Linked DNA regions of Coturnix japonica. The protein of the gene in region 3 purifies or fractionates together with the protein of the main gene of each other region. This does not show direct contact. Links are inferred from orthologs where the notes say so. Each region holds a gene or a part of one and is shown on either strand. Other genes may lie near its edges. The genes, in order: DCAF7, DYRK1A and FAM117B.

What was found.
Region 1: the proteins of FAM117B (region 3) and DCAF7 purify together in Homo sapiens (affinity purification with mass spectrometry; 3 studies listed by BioGRID and IntAct, with this or other methods). This does not show direct contact. The link is inferred for Coturnix japonica from reciprocal best matches to the Homo sapiens genes FAM117B and DCAF7.
Region 2: the proteins of FAM117B (region 3) and DYRK1A purify together in Homo sapiens (affinity purification with mass spectrometry; 8 studies listed by BioGRID and IntAct, counting the BioPlex papers as one, with this or other methods). This does not show direct contact. The link is inferred for Coturnix japonica from reciprocal best matches to the Homo sapiens genes FAM117B and DYRK1A.

What each region holds. Positions count from the first base shown.
Region 1 is NC_029542.1:2,164,845-2,170,464, reverse strand, and holds part of DCAF7 (DDB1- and CUL4-associated factor 7), read right to left. Parts: intron 5,318-5,620; coding exon 5,206-5,317; intron 4,816-5,205; coding exon 4,697-4,815; intron 4,073-4,696; coding exon 3,863-4,072; intron 3,287-3,862; coding exon 3,169-3,286; intron 2,795-3,168; coding exon 2,622-2,794; 3' UTR 1-2,621. UniProt on the Homo sapiens protein: Involved in craniofacial development. Acts upstream of the EDN1 pathway and is required for formation of the upper jaw equivalent, the palatoquadrate. The activity required for EDN1 pathway function differs between the first and second arches.
Region 2 is NC_029516.1:96,484,512-96,490,131, reverse strand, and holds the end of DYRK1A (dual specificity tyrosine-phosphorylation-regulated kinase 1A), read right to left. Parts: intron 5,605-5,620; coding exon 5,298-5,604; intron 5,009-5,297; coding exon 4,884-5,008; intron 4,206-4,883; coding exon 3,582-4,205; 3' UTR 390-3,581; downstream 1-389. UniProt on the Homo sapiens protein: Dual-specificity kinase which possesses both serine/threonine and tyrosine kinase activities. Exhibits a substrate preference for proline at position P+1 and arginine at position P-3.
Region 3 is NC_029522.1:10,402,755-10,408,374, forward strand, and holds part of FAM117B (protein FAM117B), read left to right. Parts: intron 1-4,537; coding exon 4,538-4,686; intron 4,687-5,620.

The DNA.
Region 1 (5,620 bases), on a different chromosome or scaffold from region 3:
GTTCACAACAGGACAGTAGTTCTCCAGCATGAGCAAAAGCTATCTGATTATTTGATGATTAGCCCTTCCATGCTAATCATCACAGCACAACAGACTCTATTCCTAGAGGAACTGACTGTGTTTGCCATTTAGTACAGCCTATGGAACCTTCTAGCCACTTTATTTTCAACTAAATTAGCTTATCTCTTTTTCAAAGAACAATTCTACAGCTGTTTAAAACAAATCTGCTCCCAAGCAGCAGGCGTGTTCATCATCTTTTAACTTATGCCACCTATGCAAGTGTGAGACTTCGAAACACAAAGACGACTTCTGGTAGTTCCCATCATTTCCCAATGCACAAATCAAATTAAGAGATTGCTTAGTACCCATTAAGCTTGCACTCCAAGCCAAAGTTAAAATCCCTCTCAGTGACACAGGACATTACACCTACTGTTTGTAATAAAACACTGTAAGTCAGTGGATGTATTCTTGAGTTTCTAAATCTCTGGATGCAATTATGTGCTGCTGCTAAGAAAACCCTAATTTTCACTTAATTCTGCATAAGTATTTTACAACTTACAACAAAATGCTACTGCAAAAGTTATAACCCAACTATTTGGCTAATACTGCTCTGATATCTAGATCACGTTACCTGTGGAACACTCTACTCTCAGCATCGCAGCTAGTATGAAAACCTATTGCCAAGCCAAATGAAGCCTGCTGTCAAAAATCCCACAGCTGAACACAGAATGTCACTGACAAAACATGAGCTTAAACTGTTAAGAGTCCTCGGCTCTGATATTACAAGAGGTGATGCAGTAATGCTGCCTCTAAGGAACTGCAAACAGGACTTGCAAGGCAGTGCTCTTCTAAGCTCCATGTCAGGAAGTCATCCGTGCAAGAACATTCTTACGTCCAGAACAACATAACTTCCCAGAGTCCATTCTGTATTGGATATTGCTTTCTGCATTAGCTTCACTGTTTCCCTGCAGTCCCTTTTCCTAACCTGCATTTCCCACACAAGCTGATGAAACACAGTTTGCAAGTGCTCTACTGTTTTTAATGCTGCCTGCAGTTGCAGGTGAATATACATCAGGTAGAAAGACAGCGCTGATCGTTTCTGACATTTCCATCAAAACTCAGCTGCTATACCCCCATGGACCAGCTACAGCTGTCATGTCTTCATTGGAAGAAGAGCACTGTGGAGCTTTTATCTCAATACCTGTGCTATATTAAGACTTCAGTACAGATTTTTATCTTGTCTAATCCACTCAGCTTTGATTGCAGTGTATTACTGTAAAGCATTCCACTATTCAAAACAGAAACAGATGCCCTTGGATGCATCTCAAATAACCACAAGGATGACAAGCACCGAACTATAGCCTCTGCGGCACTGTTTCTTTCACTTGAAATCTGTCTTCTGAGCATTACATTAGGGAATTATTTCTTTCAGAGAAACAGCTTTCATTTGGATGGTGGATGAGTTCTTCCACCTCATCTCATTCATTCAACAAGACCCGACAGTACAAAGCAAACATGTTTAGGAAAAAAAGGGTCCTCCTTTCAAGAACTCCCAGGAACACAGAACAAATGCAAAGAAGCTCCATGGCACTGGTTAACCACAAGATCTTGCTCGTGTTATCTGCTAATCAAGCAAGCTACAAAGTGTGAAACCATTTTATTTTGGTTCAGATCGTAAGCCCTCTAAGGGGAAATCATTTCATTGGAAACGTCAATCCAGAGTCCATTATTACAAATAGCATTTTTTTTCTTAAGTCATTTCCCTCAGAGGGAGCTCAAGTCATGCAAATACCTTCCGTCTGAAACCCATTACCGTTCTGTTAGCTACCACAACTGCAGGAGACACACAGTAAATGCAGTTCTTATTTAAAAATAAGGCCTGCCATAGTAGCAGCTGCCTCTAGCATCAGAGAAGTGTAAAGAAATTGTGCAACAAGTACTTGTACTTCACAGCACCAAGTAACCAGGTATTGAGAGCCAAGGCAACAGTTAGTTCTGGCAGGCCTTTACTGCCAGGGAGCCTGCAGTGTTGTTTTGTGATTTGTATCAACAAAGATATCCTGCTTTAGGTATATGGAAGTGGATCACATATCAAAAGTAAGAATTCGGGAGAAAAGCCTTACTCAATAGAAAGTTAGCCCAATATATAAAAAACATACAAATGTTTAAACAGTTTAGAGGCAGCAACAACAGGAATGATAAAGATTCCTGCCAAGGTGGCTGTTAACATTACCATCTTTTTCCCCACCTTGTTTTGCACTTGCATCTATTAAACTAGGTAGATGTGCCGCCCTGGCTAGCTGACAAACACTTGGACATACGCAGCAACTTAAAGCCTGCAAGCTTATTAACACAGTCAACAAACAAATATACAGAACTTTAACTGAGGGAAACAAAAACAAAGAAAACCAGAACCCAAAAGGTCCAAGAGGCTCAGCGTGTCTCTGCATTTTAGAGTCTTGGAGAGACAGGAGACACCTGCCATTGATTCTTGTAACAGTTTCTTGGAACAGTAGATGCAAAGCAACAACAGATACTGGCCACTTGACTTGTGTTGTTCTTACTTTAGAGGGGTGGGGAAATTATACAGCCCTGCCTCAATTAGGCATGAAGCAGTAGTGTTACACTCTCAAAATTTCCAGGCAGTTGTTGTAGCAGATAGCTATCCAGTCTGGCTGAGTTGATGCCCACTGTACATTGTTGATTTCTCCCTCTGCTGTATAGGCCAAGATAGGGTCCTCAATGGCACGAGGCATTTGCTGGATGTCCCAGATGAGAGCCTGATGGTCATCCGCTGCAAAAGAAAACGAAATCCTAAGTGGGATCAAAGCACAACAAGATGTCCATACATGGCTACTAAGAGGGGTGTAGTAAAAAGCTAGTTTGAATATAGACCTTGCAGTTCAGATAAGAAAGTGAGACAGATACAATGATAGAACTGCTCTCCAAGTAGAACTCGTACACATCTTTGGATAATTATGTCATCCAGGACAAAGTTAAAAACACAATTGGTGGAACTCAAAGTGCAAACACTTCAGAACTAAATTGCAAAATAAGTTCAGCAGCACTGAAATAAAACAGCTTAGCCAAAGGAGATGCACAGCTAGAGCACCAGGCTCACCAGCAGAGACGGTAAGAGCGTGACCAAGAATCTCTTTCCATGCTTACCTGCTGTACAAATGTGGCAGGAAGAATGAGGTGCCCAAGCAATTCCATTTACACATGCTCTGTGGTTGTTTAACCTGGCAACAGGAGTGCAGGGAACTCTGACATCGAGAATCACAACCTTCAGAAACAAAAATCAAGCTAAGTTAATAACTTGTATTTCCATCTCTCATCCCATCCAGAGAGCAAAGAGTTTTGAACTAAGGCTTTAAATACCTTCCAAAAGGATGCATTTGGCAAGCACACATTGTTCTGAAAGAACAGTTTCTAGCTGGTCAGCATGTTGTGTGCATTTCAGAAGTAGTCAGACCTCACATAGGACGCTTGTGAGTTATGAAAAAAAAAGTGACTCATGCTTCCCTGAAGCAGTTCAGGTAAAAATCTACGGTACACTGCCTGGTGCAAAGAGCTGAGAAAGAACAAGGTGACTAAAATACTCACACTTACTGTTTTATGTGAGAGCTGCTGCCCAACTGGCTCATGGAACCCTCATAAATTGACTGAAATATAGAGGGGGGCACAGAGACCTTCACATTTATAATGCCAAACTTACCTCTAGCTCCTACTGAAATTACTGCAACAAGAATTGGCCTTTCTCATGCTCCACTTACTGCACCTTCACTTTAAGAACTAAGTGTAAATGACCAAACCACCTCCCTCAAATTGCCTTGTTCCTTCTGCAGAACTACCGCCTTACCTCCATGCCATCCATGGCCATTGTGGCAAGATAGTTGGGATCCTGCTTATTCCAGCAGAGACGCAGCAATGGATGGTGTTGTGGGTCTTCATAAATTATGGTGCTATGTTCCAGATGACGGAGATCAAACATCCTCACTGAGCCATCTGCACCAACCGAAGCGAACATATCTCTCCCACCACCTGCACGGCTAAATGCTATATCATACACCTGCTCAACACCAAAACAGAAAAAAAACAACCCGGGTTTTAGTGAGCATCCTGCCTCCTAATCCACAGCTAAATGCATTTCCTATATGGACAGAAGAAATTGTTACTACTACTACTGTAATACTTTTTGTCAAATACTTGAGTTTCCTAGCAAGTTCTTAAGCCAAAGGGAGAGGAAAAAACAAGTTGTATAATTACAGGATTATTCACTGAAACAGAACATAGGTACTTTCTGGATTCAGATATTACATTAAAATGAAAGAATCCTGTAAGATGTTTATTGCCTTTGATACGCAATTGATTACAATTCCAGTTTGATTCTTCCAAAAATATTCTGTAGCATAATCTTGTAAAACAAATATATTCTCAAGTCCAGATTCTATGGTAAGTAAGCAGAGTAGTTCTGATAGCTGATAGAACAGCTTTAATTAGTTTGTAATACATTAAAACTGTATTTTACCTATAATTAATGCACCTGAAACTCATAAATCTTAATTGTGGATCATTAGATTTTTGAATGATCAGAATTCTCAAGAAAAAAAACAAAGGAGAAAGCAAAAGTTTTGTTGCTTTACTGCTTGAAAAACAAAGAAAAGCAATGTAAACAACCAAAAATATCCATCACCTCTTTGTCATGTGCAATAAGCTGGGTCTTGACGTGGCCAGAGACCAGGTTTACTCTTCCCAGAACCTGTCCTGTCTCCAGACCCCAAATAGTGCAGGTTGTGTCAATGCTAGAGGTACCTGAAACAAAAGCACTTCTTTTAGCAAAATATTAGCAAACTCGCACGATTCTCACAAATTCCACTGATGCACTAAGTGGCAATAGTTTCTGATATCTACAGATCAAAACAGCCACAAGAACAGCATACAATTAAAATCAAGAATGTCAAGCAGTCTATCAATGCATTTAAAAGACCCAAACCTTTTGGATGCTGATATGGTCTTTCACATTACACAGGTATAGAGTGTAAATAGCTTATGTCTACCTCAATCTGTGTGGAAGATGCAGCTCTGGGATGAACTTCTCCATCCCTTAAGCCTCGAGTAAAAACCAAAAAACCAAACATAATCACATTGGGACTTCACCAGACTTAATTCAAGAGCGTGTCTTCTTCATTTTGTCAGTCTCACCAAGGAGGTAAGGATCCACTTCATTCCAATCAAATGATGTTAGTGGAGCACAGAAGTCAGAGTTCTTGTTATTGTTCAGCAAACACTCCAGCCGGGTCTCTGTTTCACCCACCTTTAGGAAAAGCAAAGCATCTGACTGAAATAGCAACATCACATGTCCGGTTACACCTCCACATCCAATGTACGAGGTATTAATCCCAACACACAAGACATTAATCCCAGGTTTCTATCCTCTCAGCTTTACAACTTAAAACTCTGGAAAACACAACTGCCACCTCTATCTTCACTGAGGTGATTCAAACAGCAACTCATCACAGATCTGTTGCTCCCAGAGTCTTCATAATTCGTAACATTATTATTGCCATTAACAAAACCCAGTAAGGTATCAGGTGCTCTGACTTCATTTTATGTCTTA
Region 2 (5,620 bases), on a different chromosome or scaffold from region 3:
AGTTAGAGATTTCATCTACATAGGTTATTAAAGTTAACATATTTTTAATGTGAATAAAGTGTAAGAGTTTAAAACTAGAGTAGTTATTAGTTGTTCTAATAGGCAGCTAGCTATGTGGTGGCCAGCAGCTGTAACTAAACAGTTCCAAAACCGAAGAAGGACTAAGAGAGTATGGAAAATGAACTAGCTGAATCACTTGAGAGACATGGAGAAATCCTCACATTTGCAGAACCTACATGAAAACTGGCGTGTTTTTGGTTTTGGTTGGTTTTTTTTGTTGTTGTTGATTTTTGTTTTTTGTTTTTTTCTTTTTTTAAAGTATGTTCTACTGCACCCAGAAGATACAGGCTCCATGATGTAGAAATAACTAGATTGAATCCTAGGGATAATGGCATGCCAGTCAGAATATTTCATTACCATGGTCACTTCTGGCCTTAAAATCAGCTAGTCTTGTATTAGGTAGAAAGCTGCAGTGCATATAAGAACATTCAAACTAACAGATGATAATATAAACAACTCAAACTACAAATACAGTCAAACAGAATCAAGCAGAGCTGTGTTCATACATCATTGATTTGTATACCTTGCTGTTTCAATTAAAAACTCAAAATTATCCATTATGCCTCCAACTTTTACTTTCATATTTTTAAGTCTGTTTCAATGTATCTGATATTTACATATTATAGTATAATCATACCTACCATACCATGGCTTGGAGTAGGTTAATTGCATAGGAAGATTTACTATGTTTACATTTTTTTTCTTAAATTACTCTTTTTTTTTTTGTTTGTTTGTTTTTTGTTTTTTCAAAAAGCACAGTAAAGAGTCTGAGGACAAATTATTCAACTGTTTATCATACATAAGACTGCATGACTATAATACAAAGGGCTTGTCTTTTTCATTTAACGTTACAATATACACAGCAAGTCCGGACTAGATCTTACAATCTGAACACAGGTATTTAACCTTTTCCATGCTGTTTATGTTTACAATGCACAGAAGTCCTGTAACCAAACTGTGTAGTAAAGCACACAAAACTGGACTGTAACATAACACAGTATGCATAAGCACTGGATTTTGTGGTTTCTTCTTTATGTAGTTAGTTTGTTTTTTATTAATTGCTTCGTTTTTTGGCGCTTGCTAAGGTGTGGCAACCCGTGCACACAAAAATACCCAGATTTCATATCACCCTTATATTCCTAGACAGCAGTAAGTACTGGATTCCTTTTTATATTGCTGAACTCAGTATCCTTTTTGTTTTTAAGGTGACAGCTTTCCAATCCCTGTAAACTTCTCTTAATCACTGAGTTTAAGAAGAAAGGAAAACAATCAGGAAAAAAACAACCCACTTTCATCCACAGGGTTGACACTTCAATAGAAAAGAAATATGGATCACTTGATAAAAAAGTCGTGATTTACCAAAAAAAAAAAAAAAAAAAGGTAATCCCAAGTATTCATTCTCATGTACATGGTATTCAGCTGCTGTGCTGCTACTGCAAGTATAAAAAAGTCCACCTTTTAGTCTGAAAAAAAATTACTTAGCCACATGGAACTGATCAGTGTGAACTCCGGAATTTCTGCTGAATTAACTTTTAAAAGGGCTTACTGGCAGAGGTAGATCACTGCTTCTGTAATATATAATGGGCAAACAGTGTTAATCTGGGATGGGCAATCACTGACTCACTCTTATTCTTTCAGATGTTTTTCACCATGCTTTTACTTCTAATATTAATAAATCTCTGACTGGGCCCATAAATTTTGCAACTGCCAAGCTGACTGTGTTATATTAAGGCAGCATTACCCAAAAATTAGGCACCTGTTAAATACAGCCTTCTAACCTCAGGTCTCATGTGAGTGTTTTGCTTTACTCAGACTATTATTTTGGACCTGTTCATGCAATCAAGGTCTTGCCTTCAAGTTTACAATTATGTTAATAAGGAATACAAGAATCAAACTGCTGGTTTCATAGCTTCTGGATCTAGCGTCCCTTTTACCTTCAGAAGCCTGAACACGTTTATAATGTAACAGATGTTATAGTCTTGAAGTAGATGTCAATCTATTATGTTCAGTACACAGATTGCTGTAAATGTATTGGCTATGAATTCAACAACAGTTCCAGTTTTGTTTAAGCAATAGTACAGCCATAATTTTCAACTGACATTTAAAAATGGTCTAGTTACACCTTGTGTCAAAGTGCAGAACTGCTACATTATTGGTTACAGACATCTATGTGCTATAAAAACAGCTTTGGTACAATAAATTATCAAAAAAGAAAATAAATTTTTGTAAAATTCACAGCATAATTGTGAGGCAAAAAAGCAGTCACATAAAATTCTGCATTTTTAAAAATGTTCAGGATGAACAGAAGACGTCTTTGTGCAGAAGTAATGGTGGAGAAACCACGTGCCAAGAAAAAGCAAAAGAAAAAAGTAAAAAGCGGGAAGGGACACAGTTGTAGCTATTTCCATCAAACGCAAACCACTACTCCTGTGACCTTCAACCAATAAGGAAGTCAACTTTATGACACACGCAAAGTGACCTTGCAATACCTTACAATAAGTGGGTCACAAAAGTCTATTTTAAAAGAAAGGCCTCTTGAATTACCCATTCTCTGTGTTTTCAGCATTAAGGACCGTCTGCAAAAGCATGTCCAAAAGTGATTGCATCTGAAATGGTAGGCTCTTCTAACTTAAGAGTCCAAATCCATAAGGCCAAAGGTTATCCCAAAGACCACCACTTAGACCTCCCCACGACTGGCCAGGACCGACCCGTTGATTGCTTCTCAGTGCACCTTAGTTATGAAACCAGTCATATTTCAACACTAACTGACTGCGGTCTCCAAAATATGAGACACGCAGAATCCCATTACAATTGCTGCTTTGATCCTCAGTAGATTCAGATAAGGAGAGTTCTGATCACCGCCACTTATCATGCTTAATGTGCCTTACAAAATCCATTACAACCGTCCCTTTTTACAACTGAAGAATATATATTTGTGTGATCTGAAGGTCCCTCTTTCTTACAGTACTGCATTTCTGTGCCCATGTTTGTTTGGGGAACTAAAAAAAAATACACTTATCTTATTCACTCCTCTCCCACCCAAAAATTTCAAAGGGCCTTTTTGTAAATCATGTGCAATGCCATTAAAAAGAAACTAGTTTGCAACTACAGCTAACATTTGAACAATAATCCCTGTTGAATGAGTCTGAAAAAGGGGGGAAAAAAAACCAAAAAAATTTTAAAAAACCCCTCTTTCTCCCCTCCCCTCCCCAGTCCCCAAGAAAAAAAAAGCAAACTATGACTAGGTTGTGGCAAGTTAAAATGGGGGAAGCGAAAGGTGAACGCTACTATGCTATCTGTTAAGGTGGGTCCGGACATGGCTCTTAAAAAAACAAACCAAACCAAAAAAAACTTCATTGTCCCTTTGCAATCTTTTCAAGTCTAAAAAAATAGTCAGCTTTGCCCTCCTGTAGCGGTTCAGTGAGTTTATCTCCTTCTGATTCAAGCAGCTTTGCACTTTGTTTTTGGAAAAACACCACTTCTATAAAAACACACAAGAAACAAACTTAGTTTCAGTTTAGTCACGAGCTAGCCACAGGACTTTGCTGAACACAAACTCCTGTCATGGGAGACTCTTCTCTATCAATCCCTTGCCTCATTGCAAGGTGTCCTTCAGTCATGTAATGAGCAGGACCTGTATTAGCAGAAAACTGGTACGTTGGATGTCCAGCTATGCCAGTTTCTTGGCGCGGATTAGAGTAGACTGTTAAATTCATGTCCATAGCTCCATTTTGTCCAAAGTCCAAGGTATTAGCAGCCACTGGGCGGTTCTGATAGGCCTGATTGCCTTGGTTACCAGTAGAGGAGGAAGATGTAGAGGAAGAAGTAGTTGAGGAAGACAGGGATGTCATGGAGTGGTGACTGTGGCCCACCTCCATAGAATCCTGGGTGGAGGAGCTGTTTGTTGGAGAATTGTAGACCCTTGGCCTGGTCCGGCTACCCAAGGCTTGCTGTCCATGATGATGGTGGTGGTGGTGGTGGTGATGGTGGTGGTGAGAGCTATTTCCGTGATGATGATGTAATGCATTCTGTTGTTGAGGGGTTACATGGAAGGTGGTTTCTTGAACTGGATGGTTTTCAACAGTGACCTGTGTGGGAGCTTCAGTGGCTGTCCAACCAATCGGAGGAGGAAACTGTTGTCGAACCTACGTTAACAGGAAAAGCAAATAGTGAAATGATTATTCATTTCTAATATACATTTCTAAATATAAAAAGTTTGTATTCTGAACTTTTTTTTTCCCAAACAATAAAAGTATGTCCAATTAATGATCTCACTGACAAATTAAAGTAAGCCAGATCTAGAAACACATCAATTTGTTGAATGAGTTAAATCACATACATGGGAGAAAAAGAATCTGTCAGCTGCAAAGTAGTATGTACAACCTTTTCTGGTTTCCATGGGCCTCTCCAGGAGCTGCAGCAGAGCTCCTGACCCACACCTGGTGCATATGCTGCCCTCCCCTGCTCAAGACCTTGGCACCAGCAGAGCTGTTTCTTTCTATAGTTAGTCATTCCTTTCTCCCAGTTGCTGCTGTACAGTCTTTTTTTTCCCCTTTCTTGAATCTGCTACCACAGAGGTGCAACCAGTGTCACTTCTTGGCTCAGTTCTGGCCAACAGCTGGTCCCTTTTTTAAGCCAGATGGAGCTTGCTCTTATCTAACTTGGGTCAGCTCCTAGATTTTTCCCAGACGACACCTGTGCATCCCCCCTCCACTCATGACATGAATCCCTGTCATGTAAACCTAATATAATTAGTTTCAGGGATTCAACACTCTCAGAAAAAATATATACATCAAACAGACAAAAGCTCTACTTCAGCATACCTGTGGGCTGTGTGTTTCACAGTCCATAGCTTGAACAGCAGCAGTGAAGTGTCCACCACTATGTCGATGCTGGTGTGTGGGGTCTGACCGTGCCCTTCCACTGTTGCTTGTTCCAGAAGATCCACCTATAAAAATCATAGCAACACAACAAGAGAAAAAATTTACAGAAGGTCGCAGACAACAACAGCATAAAGATTTGAACTGATTCGAACACAGGACCTATGATAATCACTCACAGTTGTGTAAATCTGCTGATTTTTTTTTTTTTTTTTGTTAGAGCACTTTCCTGTTCTAGATAATATATAAATGCTTTCAATGACTGTGACTGACAGTGATATGACTTTTACCTGTGAAAGTCTCCTTTGATGTGATTCAGAAATATAATTTTCTGTTCCATTAAGGGGAAATCCTCACCTGAGCTTGAAGATGTACTGGAGGTGGTTCCTGAAGACTGCGACTGCTCCATAGCAGGACTCGTAGACACACTGTTGCTTGTGTTGGTACCTTCGTCTGCTGTTTTCTTAAAGAAACTATGCTGTAGGGCATAATAAGGTTGAATTCGTGTCTTAGGGTCATAATCAAGCATCCTTAAGATGAGGTCTTTGAACTTCAAGTAGTCAGCTACAGTATGACCCGATTCCCCAGCACGACGTCCACCTGGTCCTCCTGTTTCAACTCCTAGTATATTGTGAAGTTTACGAGTTCCAGGTGGTTTGTATTCCTGTTGGAAAACCAAG
Region 3 (5,620 bases):
AGCTGAGAAAACGTAGTGGCGGGCAGGAACGTGGAAGTGGAACTGAGACTGGAGTTGTGAAGCTGTACAGGACACCATAGGGTAACATCAGAACCTACAGAATATCAGATTTTCCTGCTTCTTGTTTTCAGTTTTTGGTGGCTTCTGTTTGTTCCTATAGCTGCAGCCACGTTGTGGTTTGGGGTTATTGTTTTTGTCTGTTCCTTTGGATTGAAAGGAGCCTTAAGGTCAGACAAATGGTAGCTGCTTCTGAACTTCAGTATTGATTCTGCAGTTTGTGCGCTTTAGGCTCGACTCCCTGGTTTTCAGCTGTTCTTTTCTAGTAAGTAGTTGAGTAGTTTAGAACTGGGAGTTCTTATCATCCTCCTTAATACATAAGGAACATTAGGTTGGTACAGAAACGTTGGTTTAATAGGTTCTTTCTCTGGGTGTGTATTTTCTGGCTTGGTTTGTTTGCTTTAGACTTAGGTACTCTGAGCAGGACTGCAACGAGACGTTCAAAATACTGAGCTGAATTTGCTATTGACATTGGGGTAACTATAAGCTGGAGGTTTGGTGGCACATTCCCTACATTCCTGGGTTTTTCTTCCTGCTTCCTCCCAAGGTAAGGCCAGGAGATTAGATCTTCTCACAGCATGTTTTGTTCTCTGATCTTCTCTCCCTGCAGTCTCCAGCACTGATTTCACGGGCTTTAGCTTCTGCTTCTGTATGAATAAATACTGATTTTTCAGTTACTGCGCTGTTGTTCCTGTCACCTGCATGACGACTGACTCCTTTGCCTTATTCCTGTGCTGCAAGGTGTATCCTGCCATCTCCAGTTCTTGCAGTTCAGTTCTTGCATAGGCACCTTTACTCATCTGCAGACCTCTGTTAGAGGAAGTTAGTCATGTGGGGTTTTTTTTCCCTTTCTTCCAGCACATGTTCCTTTTCTACATAACGAGTTTGGCATCTGTAATGCCTTGTTGACTTTCTTCCCTTTATTTTTATCTCAAACTACCCTGTATTTTAATTAGAATAGTACGTGATAAAGAGATCCTAAAGCCTACTCGTGTGAAAGGAAGTGAAGGAGACTTAGAATGGGATATCAGGAAGTCATAGAGCTTGGATGTGAACTTGTCCTGGCTGGAGAGAAAAGACGAGGAGCTCCATCACACTTAAATGTCACTGTAGAATTATTTTTAAAACTCAGTGAAAAGCAAAATAATAGCTGCAGACCTGTCAGCATTAATTACTGTACGTTGCTGTAGTTATAGAAGATGTGAGTGTAGGTTAAGAGAGTACAGAAGACTTTGTGTACCATCAGGTGGCCTCTTTGTTAGTGTAAGCTGTTTACAAATGATAAGTGTACAGAAAGTGAACTCCTTTTTTGCAGCATCGTAATTTAGATTTCTTGCGGTCGAGGCTGCCAGGGAGTGTTTGAATTAGAAGTGTTTTCATGCAAATTAGTGTGTAGTTCTTCTACATCTTTAGGAAGGTAATAGCCAAGACTACCTTCCAGAGGGGAAACGTGGTCATGCTTTGTGTCTCAGTGCCATTTGAGCCTCATGAATGCTTGCGATGCAACATGAACAAGCTTCTCTCTGCATCAGTGTTCCTTTGTGAGGTCTCCAGTTTATAGGTGTGCAGTCCTACAACTGAGAAAGGACATCAGTGTGACTGTAGCTGTGGGACTTGTGTTAAGAAGACCCCACCCCAAGGCAGTATTATCATTCCTGCTATTCAGTTGGTTATTGCTAAGCATCTCTACCTGTTTTATTTTGCTGTCCGGTCTCATTGTTATGCTGCCTTAGCTTAAATGGCCTTCAGAGGTTCTGTGGATGGATGTCCAGATAGATATATGGATAGGTGGTTTGCCATAGTGCTGCAGTAACTACTGGGTGTTTTCCCACATTGTGGACTTTGCTGATTTGTGTTGTGTGTGTCCTGTTTATATCTCATTCTGTTACTTTGCTTTGTTGGAAACCAGCTTGCAGAAAGACTTTGTTTCTAAACGGGTTTATTTAGGGCAGTAGGGGACGGGTAGGAGGGTTGATGCTTTCCACAAATATTAGTTTAAAGAGTTAATTGGGGTAATTAGAACAGATCTAATATTTAAGGACTGTACGTTTGATGAAACATCCCCATTGTTTTTCATCAGCCACAGCTGTTGTAACTGTTATCTCTATGGAGGCAGATCTCTTGTTATGTAGGTCACATCAAGGGAAAATAGCAGCTGAACGCTTCGAGTGTTGTAGAGGGAAAGGCAATGAAGGCGCTGCGTGTTTCCATTGAAGTGTTTTGAAGCAGCGTGGAGTAGTAGTCTGTGGCAATTTGTATCAAGGCGTTTGTGACAGTGGAAAGGAAGTAAACGTGTGTGCCATTATCCTTTACTATCTAAATTAAGACAGTCTTCTGACATCCAAATTCACTGAGGGATTGTCTTTTTCCTTTCATTTATGGTATTTATAGGTTTTGTAGCTTGAAAGATGCAGTTTCCCTTGAACTTAAATAATAAACAGCTTTCATCCCCGCTGTTTTGCCCCATCCTCACCATTTTGGTGGGGGAGGGGGAACAGTAACAGCTTCTGCTTCTTCGATTGTGAAGCTGTCTATTGCAGTTGCCTTGCAGATGATGTGAACGACTACACATGCTTCCTGATTATTTTTTCTCACATCCTTTCTGTTTCCCCTTGGCAAAAAAGAAAAGAGAGAAGCTTCTTGAAGAGAAAGAATGATAATTCAGAAGAAAAATAAGTAAGGGCAATATGGCAGCTATTTCTCAGAGAAATAACATGTTTGATATAACGTGAGAAGCAAACCCAATTTGTAAGGACTTAGGTGTTGTATTAGCATGCCGCATTCTCCCATGGTGCAAACAAAAGGAATCGTTTTGAAATCTTCTGATAGAAAGAGACTCTTTAGTGTGCTGAATGGTAGTGGTAGCCAGAAACTTTCTTTGATACAGGAATCTTCAAGTGTGTGGTAACTTGAAAACTGAGCTTTGGTGCAACTCCCTGAGAGCGGTTCAGCACTCGGCTCAGTACACAGAGTTTGATCTTTGTTGGTGCAATTGGAAATAATAAAACAGATGAGGTTCCTGGACTGCTTTATGTTATTAGGGATAATTATAGTGCTTCATGGTTTTAATGTATGTTTCTAATGCAGAGTTTGTATGAGGATAATTAAAATTTGTGTAAAAGACTGGCATTCTGGGAATGTTGTCCACACCACTGTATCTCTGTAACTAACAGGTTTTATTAGTCTCTGTGTACCTTGAATACGTTGAAACAGCACAGAAATTGAATTCTGGACGTATAATGGTAGTGGTTTTATCTGAGGACTAGCAGTCTGACAGTAATCAGGCCCAGCTTCCTTTGCACATAGATGAATTCGTGTAGAGTACAAATTGCTGTGGTATTTCTGCTTTTAGTGTGGAACTCGTCCAAAGACATAGTCAGAAAGAGGACGTATGACTGAGTTTTTCCAGAGCCCTTCTAAAGCATTCATCTGATTGCTGAATATTCTTTGCTTTGTGTTTTAGCCACTTGTCTTAGGCCTCTGTGTTTTTGTAGGATCAGGTATAATTCTGTGGGTAGTAAAGAGTGTGATAATAAGCTTATATCATTTCAATTTCTGAATTTGGTTTTTACATCTAGAACAAATAGCATGAGAATGTATGTATACCTGAGGCCTATGTCTTTCCTATTTGTCATTTTCTTTAATATAGTAAATGTCACCTCTTATTTTGAGGAGCCTTTCTGTACACAGTTGACACTTACTGGCTTATGGTCCTCTAACTGCAACTTTAAAATGTTGTTGGTGGATGCAGATTTCTTTTAGCCATATTCCCCTGCCTCATTTTGCTTCCTATCTTTGTTATTTTTAATCTCTTCCAGTGGAGGCTCCTGTTAGTGTCTAAATTGTTCTGAGGAGTGATGTCAGTGTGATCATATAAAATGTTAGAAGAGTTGCAGAAAGTCTAGTTAGTGCCAGGCAAATGTGAATACAGTTACCAAGCAGTGTGTAAAGGGAGGAAATGTGCTGATTATCTTGTGAAGTGTAAATCATTACCTTATCAAAGCTGACTAAAGGAACTGGGGTTTAGATATAACTCTGCAAATCTGCTGTGTATCGTATTTTGGGTAGTTAATAGAACACTTCAGCTACAACATCCCTTGAATTCAGGTAGGCACAGGGGAAGGAATTAATGCATTAATTTGAAGCATTACATTGAGGAAGTTTGGCACATATTTCCTTGGTTAGGTGTTGGCAGGTGTCAGGAAATCCTGCCATTTTTAATTGAAGCCTTCATCACTTAATGCATCTTGCACCTCTGATTGAGTAACTGATGTTGCTGGAGTATTGATGCATTGTTTGTGGCATGAGGATATTTTCCAAGGAAAAACATTTCACTGCATGTTGTAACTGAACAGAGCTTGGAAAAGTGAACAGTTCTACTTGTATCTGGAATAATATCATAGCTCTAGTAGCATCTAGTTTTATACAACTTTTTGAAGGCAGTTTCTTGCTTTCTAATCAAATGTTATTACTTTGGCAGACAAATCAAGGCCACCTTCATCAAGCCCTTCCAGTATTATTCGCCGGACTTCCTCATTGGATACGCTTGCTGCTCCTTACCTTGCTGGACAGTGGCCTCGTGATAATCACGGACAAGCTGTTCCATGTATGAGAGACAAAGCCACACAGGTAGGTCAGATTTGTTTTACTTCAGAGAACTTAAGTGTAAAGATAGTCTTTAGATGCAAGAAGAAAGAACTTTGGCTTTCTTGCTCACTAGCTCCTGTTTGCTTTCATGTTGCAGACATTGTACCTTGGCAGTGATGCATTTGAATTATTTGCATTCTATAAGAAAAGACCATGAACTGTGATACGTTTTATGAGTTCACTTTATTATCCCAGAGAGGCATTTGTGCACTGCACATCTGCTGAGGAAGTTGGGCTTGTTTAGCTTGGAGAAAAGGTATGGGGAAGACCTGATAGCAGCTTTCCAGTACTTAAAGGCAGCTTATAAGCAGGAGGGAAATCAAATTTTTGCCTGCGTAGATAGTGATAGGACAAGGGGGAATGATTTTGAACTAGAAGAGAGGAGATTTAGATTAGTTGTCGGGGGTTATTTTTCACTGACAAGTTGGCAAAGTTCTGGAACAGGCTGCCCATAGAAGCATGCCACATCCCTAGAGGTGTTCAAGGCCAGGTTGCATGGGGTCCTGCACAGCCTGATTTGGTCCCCTATCTGGTAGGTGGTGGTACTGTCCACAGCAGGGGGTTGGAACTAGAAGATTCTCAAGGTCCCTTCCAAATCAAGCCAGTATATGATTGTATGATCTGTTTTCTCATTGTTCTGACTGCATGCAAGACTCTGGAATACACTGGTGTTAAATACTTCTGTGTCTTAGTTTATGCAAAGGAACTTAAAATGACTCCTTGTATGTATGTCTGTCTCCAAACATAATAGAAAAGCTTCTCTAGTGCCTTCAAAGAAGTTACTGTAGCTTTTTCCGTGATAGACAGTTGATCCTTTGATTGCAAAAGGCTTTTAATGTTCACCTGGGATGTATACACAGAAGCACACGCATTGAGAAGCTCCTTCACAGAAGCATGACTGATGCTCAAGTTTAAC